Linked DNA regions of Arabidopsis thaliana. The protein of the gene in region 1 interacts with the protein of each later gene in a pairwise test. Each region holds a gene or a part of one and is shown in the gene's direction. Other genes may lie near its edges.

Region 1 (3,760 bases):
GAATCATGTTTTTCTTACTTTAATAGGAAACTTTATTTATTCTCTTAATGTATATGTTGGTTCTATTTTAATTTTATTATTGTTATAATAGAATGGTTAAACAGTTAAAGATGTTTTCATACTAACTTCATCACTAGGTTTAATCGTTTAAGATGTTTTAAAGAAGCAAGAAATGTTGTCTTCGGAAAGAAAACAGATGTACTTATAGATACTTTCTGTTCCCAATAATTTAGAGACTAATGATTTCTTTTATAAATTGTCCTAATCAAAGTTTCGTTTGTTTTAGTTGTCTTTTTAGATTTCTCGTGCATGGTCTCAGCTCAGTTTATTTTTAGACACTTCAGACATCTCACCATGGTATTGGAATTGGTAGTGCTCAATTGGTGGGTTTATTATAAGCCCTTTGCTCCATCACTATAATTGGGTTTATGGACTTTGAATTAAATTCTACAGGCCCATGGGTTTATGGATATTGTTTTCAGCACATGTCAAATGTCAATATATGAAAAATTCAATGTGGAGAAACTTCTGGTGGCTTCATAAAGAGTAAGACTGCATTTCCTGATAGTAGTAGTGTACTGGTGTGGATGCAGATAACGTTATTAGAAATCAAAATTGAAAAGGTAGCTATTTTTAGGTCACATATTGTATCATTAATAGTCATTGTTCAATGATGAAATAATGAAAGACTAAAACTCTTGGATTGAGTCTTAGAGATCTATAATGTAACTTAGGGCATTAGCTTAGCCTTAATTTCACATGGTCAGTGCTTTAGTGTTGTGCAAATGAACTTGAGGAAGAAGCATTAGTTGGATTGAAGTTTTATTAGTATGCTTATATATACTTTTGTAATTCCTCATATAGTGAAGTGTCCTTCAACGTATTAAAACATAAAATATAAAATGGTTTGAGACTTGTAATATCTTTTATTTTCATGCAAATTTTTTTTTAAAAACTTTTATAAGAACAAACTTAGCAGTTGGTCTCTAGCACAATGAGTTTATTGTAGAATTTTGTGGAATCAAATTTAAGATTTAATTAACCTGAAAATAAGTTTAATAGATTTGTGACATCAAATTTTTAAAATGGAATCACAGTCTTACGTTTTCATTCCATCTCTAAAGTATGAAGGAAACCTGTAATGAAGCTTCCATGCCACCTAAGTTGTACAAAGTTCTTATCTAGCCTAATGAATAAAACCTAAAAATTAAACCAACTACAAAAGTTCAAACATGAAAAGCACATAGGAAAGGATCTAATCCCGATGTCGAACATCATAGTTCACTCATATGATTTTCAGTTTTCGTTGGTCTTGTGTGTTTTAAGTCTTTTTAAGTCTTGTGTGTTTATTGGTACCAAAAAATTAAATATTCTTCTAAAATTTACGTATCTAATTAAAAGAGAAAATATATATAATAAATCTTTTAACTATTGGTAATAAGTGTTAAAACAAATCTCAACTTTATAATAGAGTAAATATCAATGTTCTTTTTGTTGACCACGCAAAATAGACCTGAAATTAGTCAACTTTAACTATACTATTGTATTAACTAAATGTTAATTTTTAGTTATCAATTTATTATTTTGAGAAGATAATCAAACTGTTAACTAAAAATAAAAGTCACTTTCAGTTTCTATAAATCCCCAAAAATCAATTATAAACCCAAACTCTTCCTCACTTCATGTTTAAAGTTTAAACCAAAAAAAAAAAAAAAAACTCTTCAAAATCCTGATTTTGGGGAAGAACATAGATTCGCAAATCGATTCCTCTTCATCACGCAACATCAACAAAATAGTCAGTTTCGATTCCTTTTCTTACTTAGATTTTTTGTTTTTGTTTTTGAATATTTAAAACTATTGGGGCATTTTCGTGAGTAACTTAATAATTTGGGCCAAAACCGTTATTTTAAAACATTACTTCTCTATTATGTAGTAGTCACGAGTGATCGGATCGGACGGTGAACGATCGACGAAACTTCAAACCTTATATGAATAGTAATCGTCAGATCAACGTATTTAATAACAACCGTACGATCAAAATGTCTGTGAAATCTAACCGTCGAATATAATCCAGAAAATTGAAATTTCAAAACATGTATAAGAGAGGGAGGAGCAGCTCTCGCGAAGACGAAGAAGAAGAAGAAAAACCCCAAATTTCTCTGTTTTTTTTCGTTGGGTGGTTCCTCAGTGGTTACCAAATCTCTCTTCTTCTTCTTCGTCAGAAGCTAAAACCTTTCAAAACCCTAATTTCATCTATCTATCTCAATAAGTCTAGATCAAAAATTCGAATTTCAAAATCCCGTTTTGAGTTTTAGTAGATTCGGTTTCTGGGTTTTCGTAGAAACGGGATTAAGGGCGGATTCAGATCTTGAAATTTTTGTGTGTTTCTCAAACTGATTATAAATTTTGGTTTTTTTTTTTAAATTTCGTGTTTGAAAAATAGGGAAAATTTCTGGGTTTCTTCTGAGAAATTCGAATTTTTTGGAGATGGGAGAAGGTGAAGAAGGAGACAAATTCCCGCCAAAAACGGATGAGGTTACACAAGAGTCTATGAAGTCGGCGAGGCAACTCGATTTTACTGGTGGTTCTTCCGATGTTGAGCATTCACACTCTAATCAAGCTTCTTCGATGGCTGCTGCATCAATCCCTTCACCGATTGTGACGGTTACGCGGCCAATAATTACCAGTCAGGCACCACCGACGGTGGCGACTCCGATTCCACCGCCGCCACAATCTCAGGGCATCATCCTTCACGTCCCAATTAGACATCCGTAAGTTTCTCTCTTATTCAAAAATTTGAACTTTTGGGAAGTTGATAGAGATGTGTTTCTATGTTGCTGAAGTCAGATTTGGGGATTAAAGCATAGATCTTTACATTGATTTGAAAAGATTATTGAAATTGACATTTTGATTTTCATAGTGAATAAGGCAAGGTTTGAATTTCTAGAGTTGACACTTGTTTTTGTAATTGCAGGAGGCCCGAATCTCCGAATTCGATGCCAAGGCCTGCTGGGGAAACTAGAGATGGAACCCCTCAGAAGAAGAAACAGTGTAACTGTAAACACTCACGGTGCTTGAAGCTGTAAGTCTCTCATCATACCATTTGATGACAAAACTCTTTGTTTCTTTGTGGACTTGTTCATTGTGAATTGAACACTGTACAATGTCTTTTTTTGATCAGGTATTGTGAATGTTTTGCATCTGGCACTTACTGTGATGGTTGCAACTGTGTAAATTGTTTCAACAACGTTGAAAATGAACCTGCGAGACGACAAGCGGTTGAATCAACTCTGGAACGGAATCCGAATGCGTTCAGGCCAAAGATTGCTGCTAGTCCACATGGTGGACGAGATAACAGGGTATGTGGTTTGTGTTATGCTCTTTAAACTGTTGGTCTTAAGGTTGTTGGATAAGTTATAAATTTTGACTCGATTTGCAGGAGGAGGTTGGTGACGTTGTGATGTTAGCGAGACACAACAAAGGCTGTCACTGCAAGAAATCCGGATGTCTTAAGAAGTATTGTGAGTGCTTTCAAGCAAACATTCTTTGTTCTGAGAACTGCAAATGCTTGGATTGCAAAAACTTTGAAGGGAGTGAAGTTAGACAATCTCTTTTTCACGGTGAACATTCCCACAACTTGGCTTATCTTCAACACGCAAATGCTGCCATAACCGGAGCTATTGGTTCCTCTGGCTTTGCATCTGCTCCACCTCCTAAGAGAAGGAAAGGTCAGGAGATTTTCTTCAACCAAGGAACCAAA
Region 2 (3,760 bases), 5.6 Mb from region 1:
TGGTTTAGATCAAAATTAAAGCACTATCGTAACTAAACATACGTAATTTATTATAGTATTACAATGTGTTCATCTAATTGAATAGATGGCATACTAAGTAAAAAAGATGAATGCAACAATCAATGTATATACATAATTCAATAAATACTTAATTAAAAGATATAAATACAAATATAACACTAGGTCAAAGTTGGCCAATAAGAATAATTCTTTTGTGGCAATCATATAGACTACGGCATGGTCTTATGCTATTGGTGTGAGATTGGAGTTGATTTGTTCGTGCGAAGTTTGCTCTGACTATAATATTCAATGTTGACCACATATTATGTAAGCCCATACGTCATCTAGGTCTTTAAATCAATATCTTATATGACACACTTTTAGATTCCCCATTCGGTCAAATGTTTTATTAATTTAGAAAGTAAGTTTATATTGTTTCAGGTTATGTTTTTGTTTGTTAAATATTGTGCTTTTTCTTCAACCACAAGTTTATATGATTGAAAAATAATTCATCAACATCATGCATGTAATGACAATATTTTTTTTGTTTTTGTGTTTCTGATAAGGCGCAATGACAATATTCAACCCCATAAAAAAATCCCTCAACCATTTTTAAAATGGCACGAATCGTCCAAATTGCTTATAATAGAAATATTAGATTAGAATCCACAGTCAGATCCCACATATTATTATTAAAGAGATTCATCGCATATTCCATTCCAGTTGTTTTATGATGACTTGTGCAGAGTGTATTCCGTAAAACTATATATGTAGCGAATAGAAACAGAGTTTGTCCTTTAATTTTGAATATTCATCCTAATTAACCATGAACTTTTATATATTACATAAAACAATTTAAAAACACACTCAACTGTATTGGATGACATAAGCGACTTTTAATTAGCAAAAATATTATGCTATTTTATTTATGTGATTTATACAGTACGTTGTTTATTAAAATAAAATGATTGTGCAAAACACATATGTATCTATATATATATATATATATATATATATAAAGACATTAAAGTCAAATGATAGAAAATACATTATTTACCTAAATAATTGGTGTTTACATGTTTATATATATTAAAGTGTTTCTTTGATTATATGTTTGTCATTTGCTCATTTACCTAAATAATTAGATATTCATCATGGTCATTTAGGTAAATTAATTTTTTGGTGAGTCATTTAGGTAAATTATTAACCCTTTAATGTTCAGGATGAAAATAATTATTTAAATCCACCACATATATAATAAATAATTAATTTTAACTTAAAATGTTGACCGTAATTAACACAAGACTTGGATCATAATTAATGAATTTTGTATAAGACAGTCGTTTTTTTTTTCGTCTTTTGAGACACGCAATCGATTTTGGGTTAACACAAACCATTAATACAACTACATAGTGGGTCGGTCGATGCAGTCCGTAATGTAACGTTTGTTAAGGAAAATTAAAGAGATGAATACAAAGAATTGTTTTTAAGGAACAAAAAAGTGTGTGTAATGTTTATGACCAAAATATCCTCTAGGTTAGACAAACTCTCTATAATATTGGTCAACAAATACATGCGTGTGCGTCTATATATAACATAGATGCAGAGAATAGACATCTTTGCTGGTTCTTTGGCTTGTACCCAAACCCATCTTTGACTTCAAAAATAAAATAAAAATAATCATAATTGACATCATCGGATAATGCATAGCGGGAAGAGACCTCTATCACCAGAATCAATGGCCGGAAATAGAGAAGAGAAAAAAGAGTTGTGTTGTTGCTCAACTTTGTCGGAATCTGATGTGTCTGATTTTGTCTCTGAACTCACTGGTCAACCCATCCCATCATCCATTGATGATCAATCTTCGTCGCTTACTCTTCAAGGTAATTTCATCAGATCCTTTTTCCAATAATTTTAATTGCTATACTTTATAACTCGAGTGATTGTCTTTTCCATTGGTGATTCTCTTTACACATAGGAATGATTTAATCTTGGATTTTGCAATTGGTAATCCTTTAGTGGCTGCAGCATGGCCTTGATCAAATAGAGATATAATTTCATGTATGGCCACAATGCATTAGTTCAATTTACTATATGATTTTTTTAATGAATGTTCATGGTTAGATTTTCTTGAAAAAACCTGTCGGCTTTATTGGTTGGACAAAATTGATCATATTTGGCTTTCGGACAAATATGATTGGCAAGGCTTGGTTGCAATGGTCGTATTTTGGTTGAGATAACTAGCCAGAGAGAGTTTTAGGATTGTAACATGGGGAAAACGTATTTAAAATGATCAAACTTAATTTATATCCTAATTATATCATTGGTGTGATACATAAGTATATATATAGTTAATTACCAATTACGAGAGAGAGGAATGTATAAATGTAGGTTTGGCCTAATATATAGATTTCATAAGTAGATGTAGAAGAGGGGAATAAAAGTTGATGTAGAATGATCATATCATATGATTCAAACGCCCTTTAATAATCTTTACGAAATGCCTCTACACCGATAGTATACGTTATATTCATAGACATGCACGTCACATTTAAGTCACCATTTTCATGACAAGAGTGAACTTACAATTTTCATCATTTTTCTACAGAAAAAAGTAACTCGAGGCAACGAAACTACAGAGGCGTGAGGCAAAGACCGTGGGGAAAATGGGCGGCTGAGATTCGTGACCCGAACAAGGCAGCTCGTGTGTGGCTTGGGACGTTCGACACTGCAGAAGAAGCCGCCTTAGCGTATGATAAAGCTGCATTTGAGTTTAGAGGTCACAAGGCCAAGCTTAACTTCCCCGAGCATATTCGTGTCAACCCTACTCAACTCTATCCATCGCCCGCTACTTCCCATGATCGCATTATCGTGACACCACCTAGTCCACCTCCACCAATTGCTCCTGACATACTTCTTGATCAATATGGCCACTTTCAATCTCGAAGTAGTGATTCCAGTGCCAACTTGTCCATGAATATGCTGTCTTCTTCGTCTTCATCTTTGAATCATCAAGGGCTAAGACCAAATTTGGAGGATGGTGAAAACGTGAAGAACATTAGTATCCACAAACGACGAAAATAACATGTTAATGGCATAAATATCTCTTCGTCCAAGTTATCAAACGCATTGACCTCCGGCTTTGATCATTTTAGGCGCTTAATCTCTTTACGACTTCATTTTGGTAGTCTTTAAAGAGTCTATGGAGTGGATTTAGCTAGGAATCAGGCCTTATGGATGAAAAATATATAAATTTTGAACATGACTATGCAAGAATGGGATGAAGACTACTTAGCTTGGAAAACGTCCTGATAGGTCATGACGACTATATCCACAGAAGATGACCGACGGAGACAACAACATGCCTCACCTGATCGACCGATCAAATGAGATAATGTGTTGACCGGACCGGTCGGATCAGGTTGGGTCGAGTATATCAGGTAGAAAAAAGCTCGTACATGGTGCTTTATGTCTTTCCACTCCGAAGTAGCTTGCTAGTTTATCCTTTTGTATCACGTACGAAAGAGATAAAAAAAAAAGTTCAAAAACAAATATAGAGGGTATACACATGATGAGGGTGTTCGAGTTTCCAAAACATAAGCTAAATTTTTTTAAATATGTACTTACATTTATATCTGTCTTATTATCCAATGCTCATATATTTTTCAACGCGTTGAATGATGAAATGGTTGGTAAATAAAAATGAAACTAAACTAGGTAACAGTCTGCATATGAAACGATTAAAAAACGATTCAAGTAA
Region 3 (3,760 bases), on another chromosome or scaffold:
GATATATTTGAAATATCATTGTTATCTCTCATGAAACAATTAATTTATGAAGTCGTAGACTCGTAGTTAGAGATTATTTAATCTTCCCTATTCAATGCCAAAAGTCTAGAAGAGCAAAACAAAAGGGAGAAACTCTTTTATTTCAGGCCCAATGACACAAAGCTGGCCAGAAACAGTTTAAGATTAGGCTAAAGTTATAAGTCCGACAAGCACGAGTGCTAATATATATAGTTATATGACGTCTCACCATTAAGGGTTTAATAAATTTTGAAACACCTCAAATTAAGATTGCTTCCCATGCAAACTTCCTTCATCTTCTAGAAAAATTACGATTTGTAATACTTCAATTATATCATTTTAGTTTTTTGTCACTAATTATCATCAATTTATCATAGCTCCGTGCCGCAACAACGTTCGTTTTAATCAGATTATATATTACTCTGCTATAAACTCAGAACCATGTTAGAAAAATGAAAAAGACATTTCAGAATATTCATTAACTCAAAATTTTAATCTCATGATTTAATTTTTTATTAACAATGTTATCCTATAGCACATGGCAAATTTGAACGGCCCTTGCGTATTAATCTATTATAATCTCAAAACCATGTGTAAGAAAAAGGAAATTCAGAAAATAACCTTTTGTAAATAGGCCCCCACAAAATCTACAACATACGTAGATACCTCCTCGCTTACAGTTGTAAACAACTGTTCATCTAGATTCATGCCGTCATTCAAGTTTAAATTAATACAATAATTTAAAATTTTAATTTGGATGAATCGAATCCACCGTCGTTTCCTGAATACCAGATAGGTTAACTTTATGATTAGTTCGAGTGAACCACATGCACAATATTCGAATCTTAGACATTCGTTGCAATGTTAACTTCACATATATTTGATAAACGCTTCTTGAATCAGATCTTAATCTCTTTCTTTCTCTCCATCTTCTAAGGAGGTTGTGGATTATCATGTAGTATATCATTATCTTCGCATCACCTTCAACAAGAACAAGCTACGAGCTTTAAAGTCGTATTTAACACAATAATGTATAAAGTCTTTCTTCATCACATCACATACATTTTTTGTTGCCATCACCCTTCATTCACTTTTTTTGTTAACACTATTCGTTTCTATATAAAATAAAAATAAAATGAGGAATGTCTTGTCCATAGAGATTTTTAAGGTCGAGGGTCATCGGAGCGATGTGGGCTTGCTTCCTACATTATAGTTGATATGTGGATCCCGCGTGGACCATATTTTTACCCAATAGCTACGTGCATGGTCCCACCGCTCTCTCTCACGCACTATTCCGAAATTGCCATAAACAATTTCACCGGACAAAAAGAGCAAATAATTTCGATGTTTAATAAAGAGACCATTAGTATATTTGACCCAAAAAAAAATAAAAAAAAAAGAGAGACATTACTATAACTTTTATTAGATGAAATATTGCAACATTGTATTTATAACGGATCTAATTTACTGAATCATATTTTTTTTCTTTGTTAAAGAGATACTGAATCATGCAGAAAAATAGATAGATTTTTAAATACTAGGTGAACTCATGACGAATCAACCATTACGAGAGATTTCTGGATAAAAGCAAAAACAAAACAAAACTAACATGCTAATCTAGGCAATTAGTAGAGCGAAAAGTCGGCAAAACCAAAGGCCGAAGAAGCTTGATCGATATACTTTTTTTTTTTTGTTTTGGCTGGATATACTTGGTATGAACTAAGAATTAAGTAAAAACTCATAGGGAGTAATTTTTCGAGAAGTGCATTCACTATGAGTATAAAACAGACATTTTCAAATTATTAAAACAAGCTCTTAGAGGCTCATATGTTTAATTGTAAGTGGCGGCTCATGCGAACTTATAATGAAAACATCAAATATTCGGAAAAATAATACTCCACTGTTAAAAAGAAAACTTAACAAAGGAATTAAAAATATGAGAGCAAAAGAACACATGCATTTTCTCATGCATGTACTATTATTTATTTTTTTGCAGAGTTGATGTAAAAAATATACACATATATATAGACATACTTTGGTTAGTTATAAACTCGTTCTATTTTCTTCTCCTTTTTCTATCTTTAGCAATGAACATATCAGTAAACGGACAGTCACAAGTACCTCCTGGCTTTAGGTTTCACCCAACCGAGGAAGAGCTCTTGAAGTATTACCTCCGCAAGAAAATCTCTAACATCAAGATCGATCTCGATGTTATTCCTGACATTGATCTCAACAAGCTCGAGCCTTGGGATATTCAAGGTTCATCATTTATCTTTTATTCTTGATGAAACGTATTAATAGGGCTTGTATATATTAATTAAATTAGTTTTTTAATGCATGTGTTGAGTCAAGAACTAAAGCTCTGAATTCAGGAAATTTTGCAGAGTAATATATACTTTTTGTGATAATAAAATTTGCAGTAACAAAATTCAGTCAAAACTTAACACAACTCTTGTTTTTTCTATGTAGAGATGTGTAAGATTGGAACGACGCCGCAAAACGATTGGTACTTTTATAGCCATAAGGACAAGAAGTATCCCACCGGGACTAGAACCAACAGAGCCACCACGGTCGGATTTTGGAAAGCGACGGGACGTGACAAGACCATATATACCAATGGTGATAGAATCGGGATGCGAAAGACGCTTGTCTTCTACAAAGGTCGAGCCCCTCATGGTCAGAAATCCGATTGGATCATGCACGAATATAGACTCGACGAGAGTGTATTAATCTCCTCGTGTGGCGATCATGACGTCAACGTAGAAACGTGTGATGTCATAGGAAGTGACGAAGGATGGGTGGTGTGTCGTGTTTTCAAGAAAAATAACCTTTGCAAAAACATGATTAGTAGTAGCCCGGCGAGTTCGGTGAAAACGCCGTCGTTCAATGAGGAGACTATCGAGCAACTTCTCGAAGTTATGGGGCAATCTTGTAAAGGAGAGATAGTTTTAGACCCTTTCTTAAAACTCCCTAACCTCGAATGCCATAACAACACCACCATCACGAGTTATCAGTGGTTAATCGACGACCAAGTCAACAACTGCCACGTCAGCAAAGTTATGGATCCCAGCTTCATCACTAGCTGGGCCGCTTTGGATCGGCTCGTTGCCTCACAGTTAAATGGGCCCAACTCGTATTCAATACCAGCCGTTAATGAGACTTCACAATCACCGTATCATGGACTGAACCGGTCCGGTTGTAATACCGGTTTAACACCAGATTACTATATACCGGAGATTGATTTATGGAACGAGGCAGATTTCGCGAGAACGACATGCCACTTGTTGAACGGTAGTGGATAACGGAAATGGAAGAGAGGAAGTGACTAAGTGAGTGACATACCAAAACATTGTGTAGAAAGATATAATAATCATCATACCATATATATAGTTGTTGAAACTTTTACGGTATAAATGGTCAGATTGTGATAATTACAGTACGTAGTTATGTGATATCATTACAGAAAATAAAAGTTCTCTATATCTGTGTACATTTTATATCATGATTAACTTTATAGAAAAGAATTGGTTGCATAGTTGAATTTCTTTGGATCAAGAATATTAGTTTTTGTCTTTTTGAAACTTAATTGCCATTCGATGAACAAAAAGGCAATTACATTTTCTACTGTAAGAAATCATAGTCTGTCACATGCATCGCCGGGTGTTTTCTAATTACAATTATATGAAAAAAGGATTTTGACCAAAAGTTGATTATGATTTCAAGAGAGACAAAAGACCAAAAT

What was found.
Region 2: the proteins of AT2G20110 (region 1) and AT2G33710 interact in a two-hybrid assay, tested with the Arabidopsis thaliana proteins (one large-scale study listed by BioGRID).
Region 3: the proteins of AT2G20110 (region 1) and NAC066 interact in a two-hybrid assay, tested with the Arabidopsis thaliana proteins (one large-scale study listed by BioGRID).

The regions. Positions count from the first base shown.
Region 1 is NC_003071.7:8,682,009-8,685,768, forward strand, and holds the start of AT2G20110 (Tesmin/TSO1-like CXC domain-containing protein), read left to right. Parts: upstream 1-2,108; 5' UTR 2,109-2,487; coding exon 2,488-2,771; intron 2,772-2,974; coding exon 2,975-3,082; intron 3,083-3,181; coding exon 3,182-3,359; intron 3,360-3,439; coding exon 3,440-3,760. UniProt on the Arabidopsis thaliana protein: Plays a role in development of both male and female reproductive tissues.
Region 2 is NC_003071.7:14,258,595-14,262,354, reverse strand, and holds AT2G33710 (Integrase-type DNA-binding superfamily protein), read left to right. Parts: upstream 1-1,615; 5' UTR 1,616-1,702; coding exon 1,703-1,883; intron 1,884-2,608; coding exon 2,609-3,048; coding exon of another isoform or gene 3,049-3,084; exon of another isoform or gene 3,085-3,315; coding exon 3,316-3,390; 3' UTR 3,391-3,546; downstream 3,547-3,760.
Region 3 is NC_003074.8:22,928,753-22,932,512, reverse strand, and holds NAC066 (NAC domain protein 66), read left to right. Parts: upstream 1-2,056; 5' UTR 2,057-2,105; coding exon 2,106-2,277; intron 2,278-2,487; coding exon 2,488-3,320; 3' UTR 3,321-3,507; downstream 3,508-3,760. UniProt on the Arabidopsis thaliana protein: Transcription activator of genes involved in biosynthesis of secondary walls. Together with NST1, required for the secondary cell wall thickening of the anther endocethium, which is necessary for anther dehiscence.